Notamacropus eugenii: one gene and its partners. The protein of the gene in region 1 interacts with the protein of each later gene in a pairwise test. Links are inferred from orthologs where the notes say so. Each region holds a gene or a part of one and is shown on either strand. Other genes may lie near its edges. The genes, in order: NAPB, STX6 and STX16.

Region 1 (3,747 bases):
ATTCTCTGAGGCAGAATGAGGAGGGATTCCATTCCAGCCATGAAACGACAGTCTGTGGAAAGGCTCAGAAGCTGAAAATAGGAATGCCAAGTTTGAGGAATAGTAATTAAGTCAGTGGGCCGTAATAGAGTATGCAGTCTTTATTTACTTCATCTAAAATAGCTATCTTATTTACCTGAAGGAAAGGAATCAAACTCTAGGGACTTTGGGGATTTCTTTCAACTCAGACATATGACTCTAATGTTTACTGACAGAAGGAACTTCAGAAAGATTGAGAGGTGTTTTGTTTTTCCCCTTGCGAGGTTTATGGTCTTCTAAAGAGGTGAAATAAGTTGGGTCAATAGAATATGATAAAAAAGAAAAAATTTTAACCTATTCTTTCCTTAAAACGAAAGGAACCCCTCTATTTTGGGAGATATATATTAAGAAAGATATGAATAAAAATGTATTTAGAAAGAAAAACAAAAGGGATTTCCAAAAGTTCTTTTAGGTCTATGTTTTATATACTACTCAAGAGTTAGCTGAGTTCTTTTGGGAAAAAATGTGTAAAGGAAAATATGTTTTAAAAAAGCAACAACCTAATAATAACACTGAATACTTTCCTTGAAGATAATCCTTTTGACTTTAAAAGCAGAGCAATACAAATTTAATATATTGTAAAAATGATTCCTACTACATAGAGTGACATATGAAATTGAAAATAATCTTAGTATTTCTTTTGATTAAATTTTATTATATTAAATAAAACTAATCTGAGGGTCTGAAAAATGGGCTAATAGCACATCATCAAAGAGTAATCATAAATTACAAGGTACTCTATATAAAGTATTTGTATACACTGTATATTATATCACATAAATCTCACAAGGCCTACTTGGTAGACAATGAAAGTAATATCTTCATTTTATAGATGAGGAAACTGCCTTAAAGTTCTTCTAGCTCTACTCTCATGCTGCTTCTATTACACTATGCTGCTTTTCAAGTATGCTAATAGTACTTGCTAAACATCAAGATTTAAAAGAAAATCCTATAAGATAGTCATTAGAATTTCAGATTCTGTATCAAATGTAATAAAGAATATTTACCATTAACTAAAGAGAAAAAATGACAATAAATGATAAATCCACTACCAAACAAACGCTGAACTTGCAGAAGAAAAAGCAGTCTAAATGAATTTGATTTCTTCCAAACTCACACTCTATTAAGAGAATGACCAATTAAAGAAAATAAAAAGTTGGCTCCAGAAAAAGTGAACCTGTTACATGTATTTTTCTTTACTACGATTTCAAACTAAAACTACAGGAAAAAAAAGAAAACTATAACACAAGAGTGCTATAAAATACACCTCTACAGGAAGCAGAATTTTGAAAAGGATTTGCCAGAATTAAACGACAGTGAGATCTTCCCTGCTTGATTAAAATGGGGTGAGTTTTCACTTTTAACGGGAGTGAGGAAATGTCACTGTTTTTCCATTTTAAATAGCTGAATCATTCAAAAGCAGTTGAATTCAGGAAGCAGCAAATATTGCTATTCTTCTAGTTCTTCTTTATCAAGTGTGCCAAATTAAATTTCCCATCAGAAACTACTGAAAATAATTAAGAGATCAGCTGAATTTCTGATACTGGTTTTAAATATTTACTATTAATGAAATGAGCTCTTTTGGCTATAGAAGAGACAAAAGAAATGAACCCATTTAAGCAATTTATTCATTTATCAAACTGAGTGCCTTCAAATGGCTCTGTGTTATGCATAACTGTAGCAAACAGGCACTAAGCAAATGATTAAAATCCGAGAGGAATTCTTACAGGGCCCAGCGTCTGCTGCCAGAAACAGAAAAACCCAGAAGGAGAATTCATCCTTTCCTCCTGCATAAATCTCTAGTGATAACATGGCCACAAGCCAGAGCCGAAGGATTAACAGTAGCTAAATCTCTGCATCGCTTTCATACCAGATTACATTATTAAAAACTCTCTCCTCAGACGTTGGAAGATAAGTTAACTCGTTTTTAGTCTGGGTTCCCAAAGGGCTATTTAAAGACTTCAATTCAGAACTAAAGGCGAGATGGTCCTCAAATTAACATCCACCCAGGAGCTTCCAACCAACCAAGAAACGAACTCAGGCACGGGCGTTCGGCAGTGAACCTCCGGCAGGGGGGAAATGACAATCTGTTGCTGGTCGGCATGCACCCGAGTGTCGGGGGGTTGGGGGGTCCTTCAGTACGGCGGCTAAGGCCCCTCAACCCCGCTCCCTAAATAAGAAGTGCTAGACTCGCAGTAGGCCGGGCGCAAGGCGGAGGAGGGGGTGGACGGGTTATTTGTCCTTATCCACCCTACAGAGGTGACGGGCACCAGGAGGCCCAGGGATTCCGCGAGCCTCCCGCGGGGACTGCAGCTTCCTCCCCGAGGGAGGCAGGAAGCCTCCCCATCCCCGACGCCCAAGCTCCGGCTCAGTGCCGTGGGGAGGTGCGCGCTGTCTATCCCTCCCGCCCCCTGATGCGGGGCGCCAGGCCCACTCGGAGGCCCCGGGGGACGTGGGAGAGAGAGGGGGCGGACGGTGGCGGAACCCCCGGAGCAGCGCGGCGGGGGCGGGGAGGGGGAGGAAGGAGCTACCCCGCAGGGCTGGCGCTCACCCAAACAGCCCTCTCAAGAACGAGTGGGAGGACTTCACGCGCTTCTCGGCCTCCGCCATCAGCTGGACCGCCTCTCGTTCCTTGCCCGCATTGTCCATGTCTGTCGCCTTTAAGCTCCTCGGATTCCGGGTGGAGAATAACTGAGTAACGGCGGCGGAGAACGACGATTCAGCCTAACGGAACCCCCAGCTTGCTGGCTGGGGAACGCGCCTCTAGAGTTTCTCCTCAGCGGAGGGGAGGAGGGAGAAGCTCAGGTCTGGGTCGCAAAGCATTTCGGGATTTGTAGTCCATTCTCCCCGCTTTGGTCTCAGAATTCGAAGAGGCGAAAACTACATTTCCCAGAAGAGAGTAGGACCGGTGCAGTGTGCGGACTCGCTCCCTTCCGCCCCCTGGTGTGGCAAACCTGTATGCTAGAGATGCTGCATTTGGGGGGGTGTGACCCGACGTAGGAGGGGTAGGGAGGATGCGAGTTAAAGAGTCGCCAGAGCCTGGGAAGCATAAAATGCATATTATCATTAGCCATTTTGTCCGTTCACCCAACCTTTATTAAGGGCCACTTTGATAGGGAACCTTGTACTAAGGTACAGGACAAAATAATGCATTCTAAATGAGGTGGCGGTCCTCACGAAGCTTGAAGTCTAAAGGGGGGAAAGAAGGCACAGACGCAGATAATAGGACACGATGATCCATCCTTGGGTCCCCAAACACCAGGCTTGATTCTCTCTTCATAGTCCCTGGAATATGTTTCTAAGGCTTTCACGGAATCTCGGGATTCTATGAGCAATGGTCATTGACAGGTCATTGATCACAGGCTGGGGTGCGGACGTCTGCAAGGTGCAGAAGAGAAAGTCCTGCAGTCAGGACACGGGAGGCGTCAAGCCCTCAGCCTGACACCGGCTTTGGGACCCTGGACAGCTCCGCGGTGACAGCACCGAGGCGGGAGTGGAACCTGACTCACCTTGGGGATCTCAGCCTTGCCAGGACTCATCTAAAAAAACGAGACAGTTGAACTGAATTACCCTAAAGGACCTTCTAGCTCTAGATTGATAAACCTTGTTTCCATATCTGCAGAATAGAGATCCCGGTTCTAGCGCCTGATTCTAGAAAGACTTGCTTCC
Region 2 (3,747 bases), on another chromosome or scaffold:
CAATGATTAGAAGAAGGTTCATCAAACTACCATCAAATAAGCAAATGTACAAAACTAAGCAATAACAAAATCCACTCCCTTCATCTTTCCATGGCACAAAAGGTATTACTAAATGCCTTCCTACTGAACAACCTTAACATCAAAGGGGGAAATAATGAACAAAGCAACAAAAAGAACAGCTCAACATTCCATGGTTGGAATTTTAAACTTCTGTCACTGTACCTATATTGGAAGGCTAAACACAATGAAAAGATGGCACAGCACTTGGTAGCGCTTTGAAATTTCATACAATTATCACGTACTTCTCCAAGTCTATAACTGCCATTTCTACTCGACTCAAGCATCAATGAGGAGAAACAAAGGATTTAAAATAACCAATTCCTAAATACCAGAAAACTTTATTATAGCTCACACTTTCTTAACTTAGAAAACTAAATATCATATATATATATATATATATATATATATACACGTGTGTGTGTGTGTGTGTGTGTGTGTGTGTGTGTGGAGAGGGGGAGAGAGAGGGAGAGAGGGAGAGAGAGAGAGAGAGAGAGAGAGAGAGAGAGAGAGAGAGAGAGAGAGAGGAGGGGAGAGAGGGAGAGACAGAGAGAGCTTGAGAGAAAAGAGCAGTGTTTTACAACGTATAAAGCACCGTTTCTTAAACAATCCAATAGTAAATGAAGAACCGGAGAAAGCAACAGTTTAGCTCAGCAGGTTTTTCCACCTTTATGACACAAAATTAACTATAGGGAAAAGAACTTTCAAGGGCACTATTCAGAAGAAGGATGAACTTTTTACACTGTATTTTCCCCCAAGAATCACAATACAATGATTAAATGTGCTTGACACTTGAGAGTAAAAATATTAGCATTCGCAAAAAAGACAACCTCTCTGTAGGCTTTGCCCTCTATAGTAATGAAGTTCATGACAACTAAGAAAGCAAAATAGCATAAAAAGTTAGCTATGTGTTTTGCACCCTTCAATCTTTCAGATATTCTTATCCAGGCAAGAGCATCCAGATCTGCAATTAAGAGGATTCAATTCAAATCCTATCAAGACCTCGGCTAAATCATTCAATCGGACCTCTGTGCTTCACTTTCTTCAACTGTAAAATACAGGGATTTTTACTTTCAAAGCATCTTGTAATACAAAATCTACAATGCTCTTCTCACCCGAAAATAGAGATTACATGCTAGAACTGTGATTTTTTTTCCCTCCCTGACGAATAACTTTCTACCAATGCAGGTCAGCACACAGAGTGCTAAGAGGATAAGTGACTTTTCTAAGGGGTTATAGGCTATTACATGTCAGAGGTAGGGCAATCAAGTTCTTCCTGGCCTCCTCTCTATCCACTACACTAAGATGCCTCTCCAACATATACTTCCTAATTAAGCTGTTACTGAAAAATTACAATCTTATTCTCTTTCTACCATTCGTTAAAGGCTTTAGTCAACTCAAAAAATGCTTTTTTTCGCCTTCCAACAAAACAAAACAAAAAAATCCCAACAATGGATAATCAGAGAAGACGCCAACTAATGGAAAAACAAATTTGAGACACTTAAAAGATCAATCCAGGTGATGACTTAGCAGAAAAAGCATCTGAAATAGACTGGATTAACTACAGGAGTTTTTAAGACAGCTCATTTCCTTCAAGGAGCGTGGGAAAACACCCGCTGCTACTGGAAAGCCGTGCAAAGTTTGGTTTGGCTGGTTTCGCTCGGTTTTCTTTCCAACACCATTACTGAGCATGGAAGGTTGTTTCTCTTCCATAGTATTACTCAATACACTTTAAAAAATCTCCCCCAGCATTCAGTTTGCTCCGCATTCCCTCTGCCCACGGCTCCCCACCCCCCGGCTGTCTGCCCACCCTCCCCACGCCTCCCTCCCAACAGGCTTCGACACTTCTCGGCCGTCCGTGGGCTCCCCCAGACTGAAGGCTCCGTCCTGGAGACAATGGGAGTTTACTCAAGTGGAGTCCATCTGGGGGCTGGGCCGGGGACTCCACAGGTGGAGGAAATCACTCCCCCGGCGCAGGTCCGTCCATTCTCCGTGGTCAGTGGTCAGAGAGGCGGCCCCCAGCCCCGGAGCTTCAGTGAATGGCCCCGAGCCCCCCTCGCGGCCCGCGGCTGACACAGGCCTCTCCTTTGACGCATGCAATGGCTCTCACTCCGGGACGTGGGTAACCCACGCATGACCGTCCTCCCCTCTCCGAACACGCAGTGCACCCCCACCCCGTCACCGTCCGGGGCTGACAGATCGGCCAGACCCCGGTCTCAGGGGGCTCCAGGCCGCAGGGGTGCTCGACCCTGAGGAAAGGTCCCCGGGGCTGCTCCGGAACAGGCCGGCGCGCTCCGTGCGTCCGTGCCCGAGTGGGAGCGCGCGCGGCGGGGCCGGGCTTCCTTCCCCAGACCGCCTTACTCACCCTTTCACCACAAAGAAGGGGTCCTCCATGGACATGGCGTCCCGGCGGCCGCCCCGCCGCAGCCCGTCCGCACGCACCGGGCTCCTCCTCCCCGCGCTTCCGCCGCTCCCTGAGGTTCACGGGGCTTGAAAAGTCGGCGGGCCAGCGAGGGGAACGCGCGCGGTGCCGCCGGCGCGACAGTCTCGCAGGAGCGGCCTGCCGCTAGCAGCAACGCAAAGGAGGCGGCCGCAGGCTCCAGACTCGATCACCGTCCGCCTCCCCGCCCGGACCCTCCCGGGCCGGCTCCCCCCCAAGCCTCCGCCCCTAGTGGCCCCGCCCCCTCGGCCCCGACCAATCACAAGCACACTTACTGAAGCACCACTTCCGCACTCCGCTCTCACGTGACATGGCCAGGGCCCGCCCCCTCCTCCAGTAGAAGCTGTGGGTTTTCGGTCACGTGACGAGAGTTGGGGCCGCCAGGAGCCTCGGGAGTTGGAGGCGGGGCTGCTTTCCCGTGTCACGTGGCCGGGGAGGCTCATTTCTAGAGGAGGGACGGGTCTCCAATGATACTCTTTTCATACCTCCCCGGGGGGGAGGGACCTTTTTCACCCGGTTTACGAAGTGGTTTGAGTTTCCCGCTCTACGTTTTCTGTTGCTAGACCGTGCCTCCCTTCTTTTTACTTCCATCTTGACAATCGAAAGATTGTTCCTTTATTTTCGTCACATCTGACCCTTGGGGCCCCTTTGGGGTTTTCTTGGCCAAGATCCTGGAGCGGTTCGCCTTTGCCTTCTCCGGCCCGTTGGACAGACGAGGAAACTGAGGCCCACAGCGTGAAGCGAGGCGCCGGGGGTCACCAGCTGGGAAGTGCCCGGGGAGGGCCGAGCCTGTCCGGGGCTTCACCCCCCAGAGGCCTGCATGGTTCCTGTGCTCTAGTCTGGCCAAGTTTCTTTTCTTTACGGTGTTGTGCTCCTATAAGCTGGTTCTTCTAGACTCAGAAATGAAGGGGATCCACTAATCTGGATTCACTGAGGACCACGACTGCCGTAGTGCATAATGTAATGTCCACGCTTTGTTGTATTTTCGCTTATTTTGTTACGCACTTCCCAATTACACTGTAATATTATTTAGGGAGGGCTGTTGGAGACCTGTCATCCGGACAATCAACAAACAATACATTAAACCCTCATTTATAGCTTGCCTATTTCCTTTCCGGCCTCAGGAGCTGACTCCAACACATCTCTGCCCTGCCAGGCCCTCCAGGAGCTTATGTTCACATAGTAGAAGACATCGTTAGAAAGGAGGAGGAGGAAAACAGAATAAAGTATCTGTTCAGCAGCCTTGTAGA
Region 3 (3,747 bases), about 93 Mb from region 1:
TTCTGGAGTAGCCACTTACTGTGTTTGATCTTGAAACAAAGGAATGTAACAAACCAAGGTGCAAATCTTAACCCAGCAGATGGTAATGCTTTTTGATTATCATAAATCCTGAGTTAAAGAGATATTAGTATCAAAGAACTTTAGACTTCTAAAGGCTTTAGAGATAATTTAATCTAATCCCTTACTTCACAGACAAGGAAAGTGAAACTCAGAGAGATGATTTCCCCAGGATCACACTGTTAAATTAGTAGCAGAGGAAAGGGCTTAGGCTTCCTGACTCCTAAACAATTGTGCTCCTTCTATTCTACCATATCCTACCATGCCTCCTCTCTAGTTTGATTTCGAACTTTTGAAAAAAAATTGAGAGAAAATTGAGAATTTTGTACATACTACTATTTTCAAAGCTATTTTATTTTTCAGGGCTTTGTGCCTTGATCAGCAGTACTACTATCACATACTTTTTGAAAAGTCTGGTTTCCTGCTGGGAAATGGCTGTACTTGCAAAGTATAAACAGCCTTATTTCACTACTACTCCATTATGAAAGGCACAATAACTTTTAAACAATTTGTTCTGTAAGGTATAAACAGAAATTGGTAATTGATATATTGTTCTTCTGTTTCCTAAGTTGCACCAGTCTAACTTTCCCCATTTAGGGCTTGAATAATTCCATGTCTATATTATCAAACATCTTTAGCCTTTTTCAAGATTGTATTTTAAAAATAATTTATAAGATTTGTTTTCTGAGAACCTCTATACAGTAGTTTTATTCCCCAGCATACATAACCCATTATGTGGAAGATTCCTCCACAGAAGCAGATTGCAAATAAATTTATGATCTATTAATTCCTAAAGTTTGAAGTAATTAAAGGTTAAGTAACTTGCCTAGGGTCATAAAGCTAATAATCGCCAGAACCCAGTAGACTAATAAGCTCAACAGGATATTAAGTATAGCATGCTTCTAAGATCTGGGCTTGGAATCAGGAAGACTCATTTTCAAAAGTTCAAGTCCAGCCCCCCACACTAGCTGTGGACCTGGTCAAGTCACTTAACTGTTTGCCTCAGTTTCTTCATCTGTAAAATGAGCCAGAGAAGGGAATGGCAAACTACTCCAGAATCTTTGACAGGAAAACTTCAAACGGGGTCACTACAAGTTAGATCCAACCTAACTCAACAATACCTCTAAGGATCATAGCTTTTCAGATTCCTAACCAAGTGTGTATATGCAAATATAGCAGGTCACGCATGTTTTGGTACTTGGGCCTATTTCATCTCAAATCTAACATCTCATAAAACAAAACCATACTTTTTCAGCTCAAAAAATACAGACTATACGTATGAATCGATAAAGAAGGGACCGAGTATATCCTTAGAGAGTCACTTTGTGAATATCCCACATATGAAATAAATTTTCAGAAGAAATTGGTGGTAATCATAGCAAAATTCAAGGGGTCTCTGAAGGAGAGCAAGTTTCTAGTAAGTCTCTAAAGTGGCATTTCTAAGTCTATGGGTTTAAATGACAGTTCCTAAGTATTTGTCTCTGTAAGAGCTGAGTCATGTCTTCTAATAATATAACCACCAATACCATTTTTAATTTAATGTAATTTTAAATTTTAATTTAAACACCATTTCTACTAATAAATCTAAACTCAAGCTAGGATTCATTTTTGAAAAGTGTGGTGCCACAGGCAATTTACTGGACTGCTGGGCTAATAGGCCTAAAAAAAAAAAGTGCCAGTATTAATTTAATTCCCACACAGACACCGTGTGAAAGGCAGTCATAATGAAAGGACTCATTTCCTGAATGGAAAATGAAAACAGGGAAGTCCACCCCTTCCCAACCTTACAGTTTCACAAAACTGTCTTCTTCAGGAAATAGGGAAACAAATTATTAAAAGCATAAAGCAAGAAGAGACTCGACTGCCACACAGGAATGGAAAATCCTCACTGGATAAAATGAGGCTAAAACGACTCCATTCCACAGAGTCATTTTGAAGAGAATATCTGTTGGACAAAAAGGGGAGGCATCGGAATGAAAAGACAGGGGAGGAGGGGGTGAGGGTAAACATGAAGCCACGAAAGCCTGAGACAGCGCTTCATGAAGCATCCAACACAGGGCTTCAGAACCGAGCAGGACCCGGCGGGAGGAACTCGTCCGAGTCCGCAGCGAGGGCGGCTCTGTGAAAGTTGGAAGGGAAAGCCCAAGGAATGGGGGGACAGGGGGACAGGAGGGAGAGACGGCAGGGGGGGGAGAATTCAAAACAAAACCTAGCACTACAGTCTGATGCCTCCTAACAACCACAAGACAACGACATTTCAAGAGAGACACAGAGAGAAAGGCATTGACAGAGACGCGTAGACACACAGAAAGGCAGAGAGACAGACAGAGGGACAGAGAGACAGAGAGAGTGAGAGAGAGAGAGACAGAGAGACAGAGGGACAGAGAGAGAGAGACAGAGAGAGAGAGAGAGAGAGAGAGAGAGAGAGAGAGAGAGAGAGAGAGAGAGAGAGAGAGAGAGAGAGACAGAGACAGAGAGACAGAGAGAGAGACAGAGAGAGACAGAGAGAGAGAGACAGAGAGAGGGACGGCGCGCACGCCGGAGCGCGGGGCACCGCGAGGAGCAGGTGGAGGAGGCCGGCAGGAGACTCACCGCAGCAACGCTACGTGAATGCAGAGGGCTGGAGGTGGAGGAGGTGTAACTACTCACTTGCTCGGCTAACAGCTGCCGGTTTTGGATGGAATTGTTCCGCAACAACAAGAAAGCGTCGGTTAAACGCCGGGTGGCCATGCTTAACCCTGCACGCCTCCCCGTGGGGGACCCCCACTCAGAGCCTCGGCCTGAACCTCAGAATTCCTCGGACCCTGCGGGGGCCGCCTCCCCTCAAGCTTCCCCACTTTGCCCTCAAGGGGCAGGGGCAGAGTGGGAAGGGGGGAGTAAAGGGGGAGGTCCCCCGCCCACTCCTTCCCCAAATCCTAGCTTGGATTTCTAACGGTCTAATTCCCACCCGACCCCGGGTGTCTTGCCGAGCCCCCGCCCTTCTTGGGGTTGTCCTGGGTCCCCCTCAGGGAGCCCCGGCCGGGCCTGGCCCCTCCAGATCGTTCGGAGCCCGTCCACGGGCCTGTCAGAGCCCAGCCGGGCTCCCGGCCCCGACGTCCCGGGTCTTCGTCCTCCTCCCTCCAGGGGCTCGAGGCAGGAGAGCCTCACGCCCGGCGCCTCGTCCCCCCTCCGGCTACAGGGCCTCCCGGGGGGGAAGCAGCGCAATCCTCAGCCTCATCATTCCTGTACTCCGCCGCTGCCGCCGCCGCCGCCTCCGGCTCCATCCATCCCCGGATCTGACTACAGCAGCCCGGCCACTTCCGCGTCGGCGTTCCATCGGCTCAAGAGTCCCCCTTCCCGCTTCCGGTCCGTCCTCCTTAAGTGGCCCCTGCCGCTGCTGCCCGGGCTCCTCACGTTCCGGGCGCTCTTCCCTCAGCTCCGCCCTGCTCCCTTGGCCCGGCCCCCAGCCCGGCTTGGTAGCTGCGCTCAGAGCTTTCTCGGTGAGGCCGTATCCTCAAATGCTGCTCTAGTTCCGCTTTGTCCTACCTTTCTCTTCCTGAAAGGAGAATAGGGTTCAGAGCTGGACTCTTCCTTAGAGACCAGCCCCTTCATTTGATGAGTGAGGAAATGAAGCCCATGAACGTGAAGCGGATTTCCCAAATCTCAGAGGTTTGGGAAAGGGCAGACTGGTGACTCCATCCCAGCCCCCAC

The links.
Region 2: the proteins of NAPB (region 1) and STX6 interact in binary tests that used the Homo sapiens proteins (3 or more experiments, as listed by UniProt). The two-hybrid records come from large-scale screens. The link is inferred for Notamacropus eugenii from reciprocal best matches to the Homo sapiens genes NAPB and STX6.
Region 3: the proteins of NAPB (region 1) and STX16 interact in binary tests that used the Homo sapiens proteins (3 or more experiments, as listed by UniProt). The two-hybrid records come from large-scale screens. The link is inferred for Notamacropus eugenii from reciprocal best matches to the Homo sapiens genes NAPB and STX16.

Annotation. Positions count from the first base shown.
Region 1 is NC_092872.1:599,919,128-599,922,874, forward strand, and holds the start of NAPB (beta-soluble NSF attachment protein), read right to left. Parts: upstream 2,943-3,747; 5' UTR 2,728-2,942; coding exon 2,630-2,727; intron 1-2,629. UniProt on the Homo sapiens protein: Required for vesicular transport between the endoplasmic reticulum and the Golgi apparatus.
Region 2 is NC_092873.1:464,546,974-464,550,720, reverse strand, and holds the start of STX6 (syntaxin-6), read right to left. Parts: upstream 2,767-3,747; 5' UTR 2,458-2,766; coding exon 2,423-2,457; intron 1-2,422. UniProt on the Homo sapiens protein: SNARE promoting movement of transport vesicles to target membranes. Targets endosomes to the trans-Golgi network, and may therefore function in retrograde trafficking.
Region 3 is NC_092872.1:506,554,856-506,558,602, forward strand, and holds the start of STX16 (syntaxin-16), read right to left. Parts: upstream 2,921-3,747; 5' UTR 2,788-2,920; coding exon 2,650-2,787; intron 1-2,649. UniProt on the Homo sapiens protein: SNARE involved in vesicular transport from the late endosomes to the trans-Golgi network.